Ovis aries: one gene and its partner. Each later gene encodes a partner of the first gene's protein in a complex. Links are inferred from orthologs where the notes say so. Each region holds a gene or a part of one and is shown on either strand. Other genes may lie near its edges.

The links.
Region 2: the proteins of ITGA2B (region 1) and ITGB3 are in contact, whole or in part, in a cryo-EM structure (PDB 8GCE), measured with the Homo sapiens proteins. The link is inferred for Ovis aries from reciprocal best matches to the Homo sapiens genes ITGA2B and ITGB3. Residues at the interface, in NP_000410.2 of Homo sapiens: Gln49, Phe52, Arg72, Trp141, His143, Asn145, Glu152, Ala153, Glu154, Lys155, Pro157, Arg184, Phe191, Tyr197, Glu199, Phe202, Pro217, Tyr221, Phe222, Phe262, Asp263, Tyr265, Tyr268, Thr290, Trp293, Thr294, Gln315, Met316, Ala317, Tyr319; in NP_000203.2 of Homo sapiens: Ser188, Pro189, Tyr190, Tyr192, Ile193, Ser194, Pro195, Pro196, Tyr204, Asp205, Met206, Arg242, Asp243, Pro245, Lys279, His281, Ile282, Ala283, Leu284, Asp285, Arg287, Leu288, Ala289, Gly290, Val292, Gln293, Pro294, Asn295, Asp314, Tyr315.

What each region holds. Positions count from the first base shown.
Region 1 is NC_056064.1:43,920,769-43,926,316, reverse strand, and holds the start of ITGA2B (integrin alpha-IIb), read left to right. Parts: upstream 1-2,220; 5' UTR 2,221-2,252; coding exon 2,253-2,440; intron 2,441-3,935; coding exon 3,936-4,057; intron 4,058-4,147; coding exon 4,148-4,245; intron 4,246-4,351; coding exon 4,352-4,520; intron 4,521-4,796; coding exon 4,797-4,846; intron 4,847-4,923; coding exon 4,924-4,969; intron 4,970-5,062; coding exon 5,063-5,188; intron 5,189-5,548. UniProt on the Homo sapiens protein: Integrin alpha-IIb/beta-3 is a receptor for fibronectin, fibrinogen, plasminogen, prothrombin, thrombospondin and vitronectin. It recognizes the sequence R-G-D in a wide array of ligands.
Region 2 is NC_056064.1:46,050,030-46,055,788, reverse strand, and holds the start of ITGB3 (integrin beta-3), read right to left. Parts: upstream 3,428-5,759; 5' UTR 3,310-3,427; coding exon 2,937-3,309; intron 1-2,936. UniProt on the Homo sapiens protein: Integrin alpha-V/beta-3 (ITGAV:ITGB3) is a receptor for cytotactin, fibronectin, laminin, matrix metalloproteinase-2, osteopontin, osteomodulin, prothrombin, thrombospondin, vitronectin and von Willebrand factor.

The DNA.
Region 1 (5,548 bases):
CAGTTTTAGCGTTTCTAAAATGGACATAATAGTAGCTAATTCATTGGGTTGTTATGAAGAAGCGGATAATATAAATGACTTCAGCTAGGCATCACCCCTACCTTTTTCAAGGCATTTACTATTCTGCTGCAGTTATATGTGTTCATGTCATGTCTTAACTCTCTCTGGACTAAGTTTTTTAAGGATCCTTGACAATTGTCTTTGTATCTCTTACCACTCAGTGCCTTGAACAGAATGCTGCTGCTGCTGCTGCTGCTGCTGCTAAGTCGCTTCAGTCGTGTCCGACTCTGCGACCCCATAGACGGCAGCCCACCAGGCTCCCCCGTCCCTGGGATTATCCAGGCAAGAACACTGGAGTGGGTTGCCATTACCTTCTCCAATGCGTGAAAGTGAAGTCGCTCAGTCGTGCCCGACTCTTAGCGACCCCAGGGACTGCAGCCTACCAGGCTTCTCCGTCCATGGGATTTTCCAGGCAAGAGTACTGGAGTGGGGTGCCATTGCCTTCTCCGTGAACAGAATGAGAATTTATTAAAAGCCTTGGTGAAGTGTGAGTTAATCTGGGGCTACACAGGGTACACCAGTAATACAGTTCCACTCAGTTGAGGACAGGGAGGGTGGAAGGTAAGTACAGGACTAAGTATTACGTGCCTGCCGTGAGCTTGGCACTGGGAATTCAGCAGTGAAGGAGGCCCAGACTAAAGTTCAAGGTGCCTCTAACCTAGAAAGGGATAGGATTTTGAGCTATGTGCTCAAAGGAGGTGAATTATGAGGACAAAGGTGGTGCTGAAGGGCCCTGGGGAGTTGGGCGGGATAAGATGATGGTTAAGTTTGATCAGAAAATTTAACAGCCTTGGTAGTCCAGTGGAATCCACCTTGCAATGCAAAGAACTTGGGTTCGATCCCTGGTTGGGAAACTTAAGATCCCACACCGCAACTGCAGAGTCCGTGCACCACAAGGAAAGATGCCAGATGATGCAACTAAGACCCAATGTAGCCAAATAAATAAAATATTTAAAAAGAAAATATGAGCAAAAGCAATGTGACTATGTTCTTTACCCCAGCAGATCTCTTAAATTTCCTTCCTGACAACCTGCTTTTTTGGGAAGACAATGCAGTGCCAGTAAGACTTGCTTGGCACTCCTCTTCCTCTGAACATCCGTTAAAAAATGCCCTTTCTGCTCAAAACTATTCCTTTTCTTTCCTCTGTGGGAGCCTGCATTTGCATCCTCCAGTCCTCAGTGCCTGCTATTATTCAGTCTGTCAGCAATGCCTACGGTATGATGGGCTCTTGGCTAGGTCCTGGGGCACCAGAAAGGACCCTCATTCTCAAGGGACCCGTGAACAAAATCCAGTGAACAGACCATGACAAAGCAGTGTGATCAGTGCCGCACCCCTGTGTGTGAACCCCAGAGTGCCAGCCCGAGGAATTGAGAGTGGCATCTCCTAGGCAATGACCCCACTAGAATCAAGTCTTACTGATTGGACAAGAGCTCTGTCACCCAAGGAGTTAGACCTGCCTTCAACTGAACAGCTGGTGCAAATCTCCAAGCCTGTGAGCCAGAACACCCTGGGATGACTCCACTTTATCCCCATCTCCTCCCTTCAGCCAGGATCCATTCACCACCCCTCCCCCAGCACTGGCTACATTGCTGCGCCACATTAAGACTTGGCCCCAGATGGAGGATGAGCGAGGAAGCTGTTGTGCCAATATGACTGACTGAAGCTGCCAAAGGTCCTAGAAGGAGGAAGTGGATAAGTGCCTTATTCTTTTAAGGATACAGCAGCCTCAGGTCTTATCAGGGGCCAGGAGCTTCCTCGCTCCTTCCCCCACTTCTGACCAAGTCACAGTGTGCCTTGGCAGTGCAGGGAACTGTGTGGGGGGAGGAGGACCTGTAGAACTGGGCTAGAGTGGAGGCGTGTTGCACTATCCCAAGCAGGAAGCAGTGGTGGTTTAGACTAGCATGGTGGTAGAAGAAATGGAATGAAGATTCAAGAGACATTGTTGAAGAGCAGAACCAGCAGGACTTGATAAAATACGTTCAAGAAAAGGGAAGAATTGGCTTTCAGCCATAAGCATCCACCCCCAGGGTAGACTTACCCTCTTCCCAACAACCCTAGAAACCATATGGCCCAGGACTCTGCCTACTAGTCAGCAAGTAGGTTTCAGCTTGATAAGAAAAGACTTCCTGCGGTGGAACTGAAAGGGGAAGCTGCTAACCCATTACTGCCTAGGAGGCTGTGGGAGAAGGAAGATGGCCAGAGCTCTGTGTCTACTTCGTGCCCTCTGGCTTCTGGAGTGGGTGCAGCTGCTCTTGGGACCTGGTGCTGTGCCTCCAACCTGGGCCTTGAACCTGGATTCAGTGCAGCTCACCATCTACACAGGCCCTAATGGCAGCCACTTTGGGTTTTCACTGGACTTCTACAAGAACAGCAATAGGAGGTGAGCCCTGGGAAACTCCCCCACCATCACTGCTTCTGTGGGTCTTGAGTTCCCCATTTGTGATAGAGGTTGAGCAAACTTATTTCCAGGGTCTATTTGGGCTGAGTTCTTGTTAGGAATACCAGGGTGTCAGCAAGAGGCACCAGTGGGGAGCTGAGCAGAGCAAAGACAAAGGGGAGACCGATGTTGATGCCTTATTTTTTCCTCAAGGGTCAGTTTTATGACCCACTCCACCCTCATCCCCTTGAAATACAGAAAGGAGCACATGTCTTAAGTTGACCTGCAGAACTGTGAAATTGTCTGTCTACTCCCACTTTGCTTTCTATTCCAATCCCCTCAACCCAGCAAAACGATTGATATTTGAAAAGAAGCAATAGAGCATTATTGGTTGGGATTCATCAGGCTGCAAATTCAGACTGCTAAAATTAGAGTCCTGGCTCTTTCTCTCTATAGCAACAACCCTGAGCTAGTTCCTTATTGAGATGGACACCAAGGTCCAGCTTCAGAGCATAACAATAGCAGATGAACTTTAAGTGTCAGCACCTTGGGGAGTTGCTTCTGCTGAAGAGGGCCACCTCCCTCAAAGCTCCCCCACTTCCAAATGTGGCCCAGGAACAATGACCAGTCAATGAGGAGTGTGGAGGGAGGGGAGAGGTTAACGGTCTGACTCTTTCAACTCCAGACAGTTCTGAGGGTCTTTCTCCCTCCAAAGTTCCCAGGACATTGACCCATGGCTGTTATTCAGTCCGAATCTCAACTCAATGTCCCCTGCCTGCTCCTGCTTCTTTCTCCTCCTTTTCATAGATACTGGTCTCATGGGCACTACTTAGTAAATATCCTGCAAACTAAAAAGAAAAACAAATTACAGCATTTTTGGAGCCCTCGTTATGTATTATTTGGCTGGCACTGGCATAAATGTTTTTCATGTGTTTATTTCATTTACTTCTGACAGCATTGATTGGTATTGTCCACCTTTTATATACAGTAGAGCTGTCATTTGAACCTAGATCTACTAGAGTCCTTAGAAATGTCAGCACCCCACCACCCACTTTACGGGTGCCCACTAGCTTAATATTTCCTGATTAAAACTGGTTCTCAGAAAGAGATCTGATGACAGTTTAGACAGGAACACGGTGCATGTAAACCCTTGGCTTTTCGTGGCAAGTGTTGGGGAATGTAGACGGTGTACAGAGTTTAGGAGATCTCTTTTAGCAAGGCTGTCAAACCCCTCGTGTTCAAATCGAACCTAATGGTTATATTCTGTTTCATCCTTAATTTCCTCGGTTACTGATGGGTATGTGACTTTCCTCGCTGGGAGTCAGTTTCAGTGGCCATAAAATGAAAAGATTGGCGTCTGTGGTCTGTGTCGTCTCACTGGGAAAAGATCCAGTGACCCTCAAGGCACACCGCCCTTCCGAGGAGTGCTCCCGGCACAGGCACTGGGGCACGGGGTACCCCAGAATCCACGGAGCTCTCACCCAGCTTTCTTATGCAGTGTGTCCATCGTGGTGGGCGCCCCACGGACCCTGGGCCGCAGCGAGGAGGAGACCGGCGGCATTTTCCTGTGCCCCTGGAAGGCCGAGGGTGGCCAGTGCATCTCGCTGCCCTTCAACCTCTGTGAGTCTCGCACAAGAAGAGAAAGGGAGGGGATACAAGGAGCGCGGACAGCCGGGCTTCAGCACCCTACTCTCTTCTTGTGCCCTCCAGATGATGAAACGCAAAGCATAGGCACCCAAACTTTCCAAACCTTCAAGGCCGGGCAAGGACTCGGGGCGTCGGTCGTTAGTTGGAGAGACAGCATTGTGGTGGGCGCTACCGGACCGGGATCAGGGAGCAGACGGAGGGCGGGGACACGTGGAGGGAGGAACCCGAGTCCCGCCCCTTCCCCACTCTCCTCTGGCTCTGCTTCAGGCCTGCGCCCCCTGGCAGCACTGGAACGTCCTAGATAGGAACGAGGAGGAGGCTCAGAAGACCCCCGTAGGTGGCTGCTTCGTGGCTCAGCTCCAAAACGGCGACCGCACAGAGTACTCGCCCTGCCGGGCCAACAAAATGAGCCAGTTTTACGAGAGAAATCATTTCAGTGAGCTCCTCTCTCCGTTTCGGCTCCGCCCACTCGCGGCCGTTATCCACTAGCCCCGCCCTTCACCCGATCATTCCCAAATCCTGCTTGCAGTCTGGGGTCTCCCAGATAGCCTAGTTCCTGACTCCACCCCCATATCCTGCCCACTGGATGTTGATAGTAGACCACGCCTCCGTATTACCCTGTGGCCCCGCCCCCGTTTGACTCCGCCTCCCGGCCCGGCGCCACTCGTCAGAGCAGGCTTCTTCGCTGACCCTTTCTTTTTGCCTTCTCTAGGAGAGGACAGGCGTTACTGCGAAGCCGGCTTCAGCTCGGTAGTCACTCAGGCGAGTAGGGAGCATAAACGGCGTGGGGGTTGCCCCCCAAACAGGGCCCTCTCTCACCTTCAGAGCTTCTATTTCAGGCTGGGGAGCTGGTGCTTGGGGCTCCTGGCGGCTACTATTTCGTAGGTACGTGCCCATCCGTACACCTCCCTCCCTTCTCTCGACCCGGGCACACTCCAGGCTCCTGGACGCCCATACTAACTGTCCCACGTGCCCTAGGTCTCTTGGCGCGGGCTCCAATCGCCGATATCATCTCGAGTTACCGCCCAGGCAACCTTTTGTGGCACGTGCGCACCCAGTTCACCTACGACCACAGTCACTTACAATACTACGACGGCTACCGGGGTAACGTGGCACTTCCCATCGAGGCTTCCCAGCACTCAAGCGTCACCGCCAGCCCTGTCCTACCCCTGTAGGAACGCCCCATTGTCAACTCTGGCTGGCCAGCCCCAGCACTAAGGCGCCCCCACTCTGCTCAGGCAGCTCCCTCTCCCTACCCTCTGCAGACAGCCCAGCTCCCAAAGGCGAGCATGTCGACTTCTCGAGCTGAATTCGCTTCGCGGCCTCGGGCAGGTCTTGACCTCTCGGTGGCCTCGATTTCCCCGTCTCCGCAATGCAGAGTTTGAACTGGGTGGTCTCTGAGTCCCCTCCGTTCTCACTCGGGCCCCTTCCCTGCTTCACCCTCCCTGAAGGACTAATTCTCAC
Region 2 (5,759 bases), about 2.1 Mb from region 1:
CTTTCCTCCTATATCTGCCTCCCAAGAATCTGATGATCCCTGGAACCCCGTCATAAACACTGGAGTGAAGAGGGTGTGAAATATAACCGAAACTGCTTTTGCTCTCAGCTCCGTTCAGTCGTGTCTGACTCTTTGCAACCCTTTGGACTGTAGCCTGCCAGGCTCCTCTGTCCATGGGATTTTTCAGGCAAGAACACTAGAGTGGGTTGCCATTTCCATCTCCAGGGGAATCTTCCCAATCCAGGGACCAAACCTGCATCTCCTTCGTCTCCTGCATTGCAGGTGTATTATTTACCCACTGAGACATGGAGGAAGCCACTATTACTGGGGGTTTATTACTTTGGAGGTCTTCTCTAGAATCCATGATCTTTTGTCCTTTGTTTTTTATTTTTATTTTTGTTGTTGTTGTTTTTGTGGGTTGTTTTTTGGACACACCTCGCAGCATGGGGAACTTCCCAACCAGCAAATTTTCCAGACCAGAAATCGAACCAGAACCCTTCGCAGTGGAAGGATGGAATCTTAACCCCTGGACTATCAGGGAAGTTGCTTAGAGCCCATCCTCTTTTTAAATTTATTTATTTGGCTGCACTGGGTCTCACTTGAGGCATGCAGGATCTTTAGTTATGGCAAGTGAACTCTTAATTGCAGCATGTGGGATCTAGTTCCCTGACCAGGGACCAAACCTGTGCCCCTTGCAATGGGAACCCAAAGTCAGCCACTGGACCACCAGGGAAGTCTCGAGCCCATACTCTTAAATACGACTCTACCCTGCCTCTCAATGGTTCTCTGGGGTTAGCTAGCTCAGCACAGCCCATCACCACTCTGGAATCACTCCAATCACAATGATGAACCTGTGAACAGATCCCCAAAAGAATAATTCATGTAAACTTAGGTATGTCAACACAGTAGAATCCTATACAGATCATTACAACTGTGTAAACCAGATCAACAAAAAGTATACTAGAAGTGAGGGGTGGAGAGAGAGACAGCAAAATAAAAAATGCACTCTTCATCTTCACCAGCTGAACCAAGTACCATGCTAGACTCTATCTCATATTATCTTACTTCTAAAACTGTAAAAATACATAATGATTAAATTCAGAAATCATTCAGAAATTCAGAAAACTGTAGATGTGAAAAGAAAGTAAAAAATGTTTTAAGTTCACGGAAGCAGGCATCGCTGCAGGAGAACACCTAGTTGCCTCCAGACTTCTCCATTCAGACAGCATCCAAACCAAGGCTCTAACTCTCCCTGGGTGGAATGCTGGAGATTCATAATTCTGGGCCATAGTCATCAGGCCACTCACTGCAGGCTAAAGACATCAGTTGACTTCTTTGAGCATCTACTACATGGGAAGCCTCTGCAGCAATAACTTAAACAGCCCCCTATGTATTATCTGTAACTCCTTCATCAAATTGTGGATTATAAATGGTGAGGATCTCATGAGTGTATACTTATCTCAAAATTCAAGTCATATACATTAAATATATACAGCTTTTAAAATGTGGATCCTACCTCAATAAAGTGTTTTTTTTTTTAAGATATTGTTGCCCTATCCTGGACAATCTGTTATGCATACAAGAGTCTTAAAGGAAGTCATCGAGTATTTCCTGATGGATTTAGCAATAAATCTTAATCTTCCGTAGGATCTAAATTGTCTTACCATGAAAATGTGAAATTGAAAGTCACTCAGTCCTGTCCGATTCTTTGCGACCTCATGGACTATACAGTCCATGGAATTCTCCAGGTCAGAATACTGGAGTGGGTAGCCTCTCCCTTCTCCAGGGGACCTTCCCAAACCAGGGATGGAAACCAGGTCTCCCACATTGCAGGCAGATTCTTTACCAGCTGAGCCACCAGGGAAGCCCAAGAAAATTGGAGTGGGTAGCCTGTCCCTTCTCCAGCGGATCTTCAAGACCCAGGAATCGAACTGGGGTGTCCCGCATTGCAGGCGGATTCTTTACCAACTGAGCCCTCAGGGAGTACTACTTACCACGAGTACTACTCTTTTCACTAAAAGTAGGTATACGCACGGACGCACTTGTGCGTCCTCTGCAGAGAAACGCCGCAGTGGACCAAGAGAGAGTTCTCCCTGGGGGGGTCACCCGGGTACCAGAAAGACCACGGGCAGCAACCTGGGCTGTGCCCCTCCCAGCACCAATGAGGCCGAATGCCAAGTGCCCTGGCAGCTGATAGTGCGTGTGCGGCAGCAAGAGAGACAAAGCCAGGGAGCCAAGCCAGCTCCGGGGACCCCTGGCGTGGTTGTTCGCACACAGTGGAGAGTGTTCGGATGCTGGGTTTGTCCCGGAAGCGGAGGCTACTGCCCCCACCCTGGGACACTGTAGGAGGTAGCGCTCTTGTCCTCCTCCGAATCGCTCCCGCGGGGAGCCTCCAAATAAAAACTAAACAAACAAAAACTTGGGATAAAGTGTACACAAAGAGAAAGAGAAATGTCGAGTAACTGGTAAGTCTGCGCGCACACGCTCTCATTTGAGAAGCGACAACCGCATCCCTCTGCAAACGCGGGGGAACAGCCCCGGGAAGCTCGCCCGGGCTCCGGAAGCCACCCTGCCTTCGCACGGCCGGGACCACCTGCGAGGCGCGCAGCCGGGACTGAACTCGGGGCTCAGAGATGCGCCCACCGCGCCGCTCACGTGGAGATGGCCCGGGACAGCCGCCTAACTCGGCTTAAGAGTTAGTTGGGTGTCCCGGTGGACCCGCCCGTAGGTTGTGGCTCGCCCCGGCCGCAGCGGAGCCCGGAAGGTCCCCAGCTCCGACGGCTCCAGCCTGGCCCCGCGCACACTGAGCGCAGAGGCGCAGGACCCACCCGACCGGCTTCCCCGCTCCGCGTCTGCTCTGTACACTCGGCCGCGGCAGGACGCGCGGCGCGGCTCACCCGAGACCTGGGTCCCCACCGCGCGGGAGCCCCACTCACCTCCGACGCCGACGCCCGCCAGCGCCCCCACCACCAGCACCGCGGCCCAGAGCCGCCGCGCTCGCATCTCGTCTGCCCGCCGCCGCGCTCCGTCTCGGCAGCGTCCTCCCGCCCCACAGCGAGCGGCGGCGCCCGCGGCCGCTTTTCCCGGGGCCGGAGGGGAGGGGACGCGGTGGGTGGGACGCAACGGGGCGGGCCGTGGACTGGCGCTCCCTCCCCTCCGGCCCTTCTGCGGACCCTCCACCGCAGGGTGGGAAGTGGGAAACCGCCGCTCCTCTCTGCCGCTGCGACTCAGCCCGCGAGGATCGCCTTGCGGGTATGCGAGGCAAGACTGGGACCCCAGGGAGGTCGAGGGCGCATCCTCCGAGGACATCCTGGCCCCAGGGTCCGCATCGGGCCCTTGGTATGCTCAGAAAAGCCAGGAGCCTGTGGTCTCTCTCTTCGGAGACACCCACACGGCTTTCTCTTTCCCTAGAGTTCCTCGGGCACCTGCCCTCTGTACCCTGACTTTTGGTCATTGATACGTTCATTCATTTAATTGCAAACCTGCTGAACGCCTACTCTGTGCCAGGCACCGGTTTAGTCTTTTATTATTCACTAATATTTATCTTGGGTTAGTTTGGTTTTCCAGTAAACAGTAAGCCTCTTGAAGACAAGACCGCATCTCAAGCTTGTGCAAGCACTTGATGTCCATAAAAGACCTTTCTCTGCAAATAGATGCTTGCACAGAGTAAGCACCTGATGAACATTTCAAGACAGTCTGCACTGCACTCAAATTCATAGGCTTTGGAGCTTTATCTTATTCTCTTCAAAGGCCTCCTGCCTCCCTGAATTCCTACTTATGGGTCTCTGGGTCCTCCACAAACTAGAAACGTCGGGAAGCTCAAAGGGGACATTGCTAGGACTATGAGCAGGAGGCCACCACAGATAGGGGCTGGTGCAGGCTGCCTCAATAGGAAACTCTAAGGATAATTAAAAACAAGGCCTGAGGACTTCTATGGGGGTCCAGTGGTTAGGAATCTGCTTGCTAATGCAGGGGCTTCCCTGGTGGTTCAACTGATATAGAATCTGCCTGCAAAGTGGGAGACCTGAGTTCAAACCCTGGGTCAGGAAGATCCCCTGGAGAAGGGAAATGCTACCCACTCCAGTATTCTGGCATGGAGAATTCCATGGACTGTATAGTCCCCATTCCATGGACTATACAGTCCATGGGGTCTCAAAGAGTCAGACACAACTGAGTGACTCACTTTCACTTGCCATTGCAGGGGACCTGGGTTCGTTCTCTGGTTCTCTGGTCCAGGAACCAAGTTCCCACATGCAGCTAAGCTGGCATCCGGCAATGACTGAGCCCTGGAGCCCTAGAGCATTGGTTCTGCAACAGGAGAAGCCACCAATGAGAAGCCCACACAATGCAACTAGAGAATAGCCCCCTCTTGCAAAAACTGCAACTTGGGATAGCCATACTCAGCAACAAAGAGTTGTGAGCCAGAGCAGCCCAAAATTTTAAAAAACGAAGAAAAGAAAAAAAGCCCTGAGGCATCAGGCAGGATTTGGAGTCTCTCCAGCTGTTGGGCTCCTCCAAAGCCTTCCAGGCTGTCTTTGGGCTTCCCTAAACCCTCTCCTGAAATGCACAAGATACCTGGAAACTGGCCCTGCCTCAGGTCTCTACCCTCATCTCCCATCCTAGCTCAAAAAGATATGTAACACTCCCAAACACTCCTCGCCTTTCTGTCTGACTGATCTTACTTCCTTTTTCCACCTGGAAAATTCCACTTAATCTTACAAAACATCTCAGATGTCACCTCTTCCATATAATCATGTCTGATTCCCCACCCCTCTTCCTTCTGCCCAGCCTCAGCAGAGATAGGCATTTCCTCCTCAGACCTCCCAAACACTAGGAAAAAGAAGAGCACACATCAGTAGAAGTGTCATTAGTAATTTGCAAGGAGGCAGGGGAGGAGCCACCCACAAAGGGTCGCTGGGCTTCCTGACCTGAGCTTCATACACTTTTCCTAAATGCTGGAAGGCCTCTAGGTCAGAAGCCACTTTAACAGTGTTGCCATTGCCCTGAATCAAAATCCAGATTACACAGGTTTCATCTCTGCCTAGATGTTTACCTATTTGGTTCATTCTCATGTATGTAACAATGGCACCCCACTCCAGTACTCTTGCCTGGAAAATCCCATGGATGGAGGAGCCTGGTAGACTGTAGTCCATGGGGTCGCGAAGAGTCAGACACAACTGAGCACTTCACTTTGACTTTTCACTTTCATGCATTGGAGAAGGAAATGGCAACCCACTCCAGTGTTCTTGCCTGGAGAATCCCAGGGACGGGGGAGCCTGGTGGGCTGCCGTATGTGGGGTCGCACAGAGTCGGACACGACTGAAGTGACTTAGCAGCAGCGGCAGCAGCAGCATGTATATAAACCATCTCCCATTCACCTAGGTGTCTCCCCAGCCTAACTCTGCTGGTACCAACCACTAGGGGTGGACACCAGTCCAGCAAATATGCTGTCCAAGTTTCCAATCCTTTCAGCCTGAAGAACTATCTTTAGCAGACTTTAAAGGCAACAAATATGCTCAGAGGTAAAGAACCTACCTGTAAACACAGGAGACTCAAGAGACCCAGTTTCGATCCCTGGGTCGGGAGGATCCCCGGAAGAAGAAAATGGCTACCACTCCAGTGTTCTTGCCAGAAATCCCATGGACAGAGGAGGCCTGGTGGGCTCCAGCACATGGGGTTGTGAAGAGTTGGACATGACTTTGTGACTAAAAAGTAAAATGCTCAACTTTTATTTGTTCCATTCTCATTTTTAATGATAT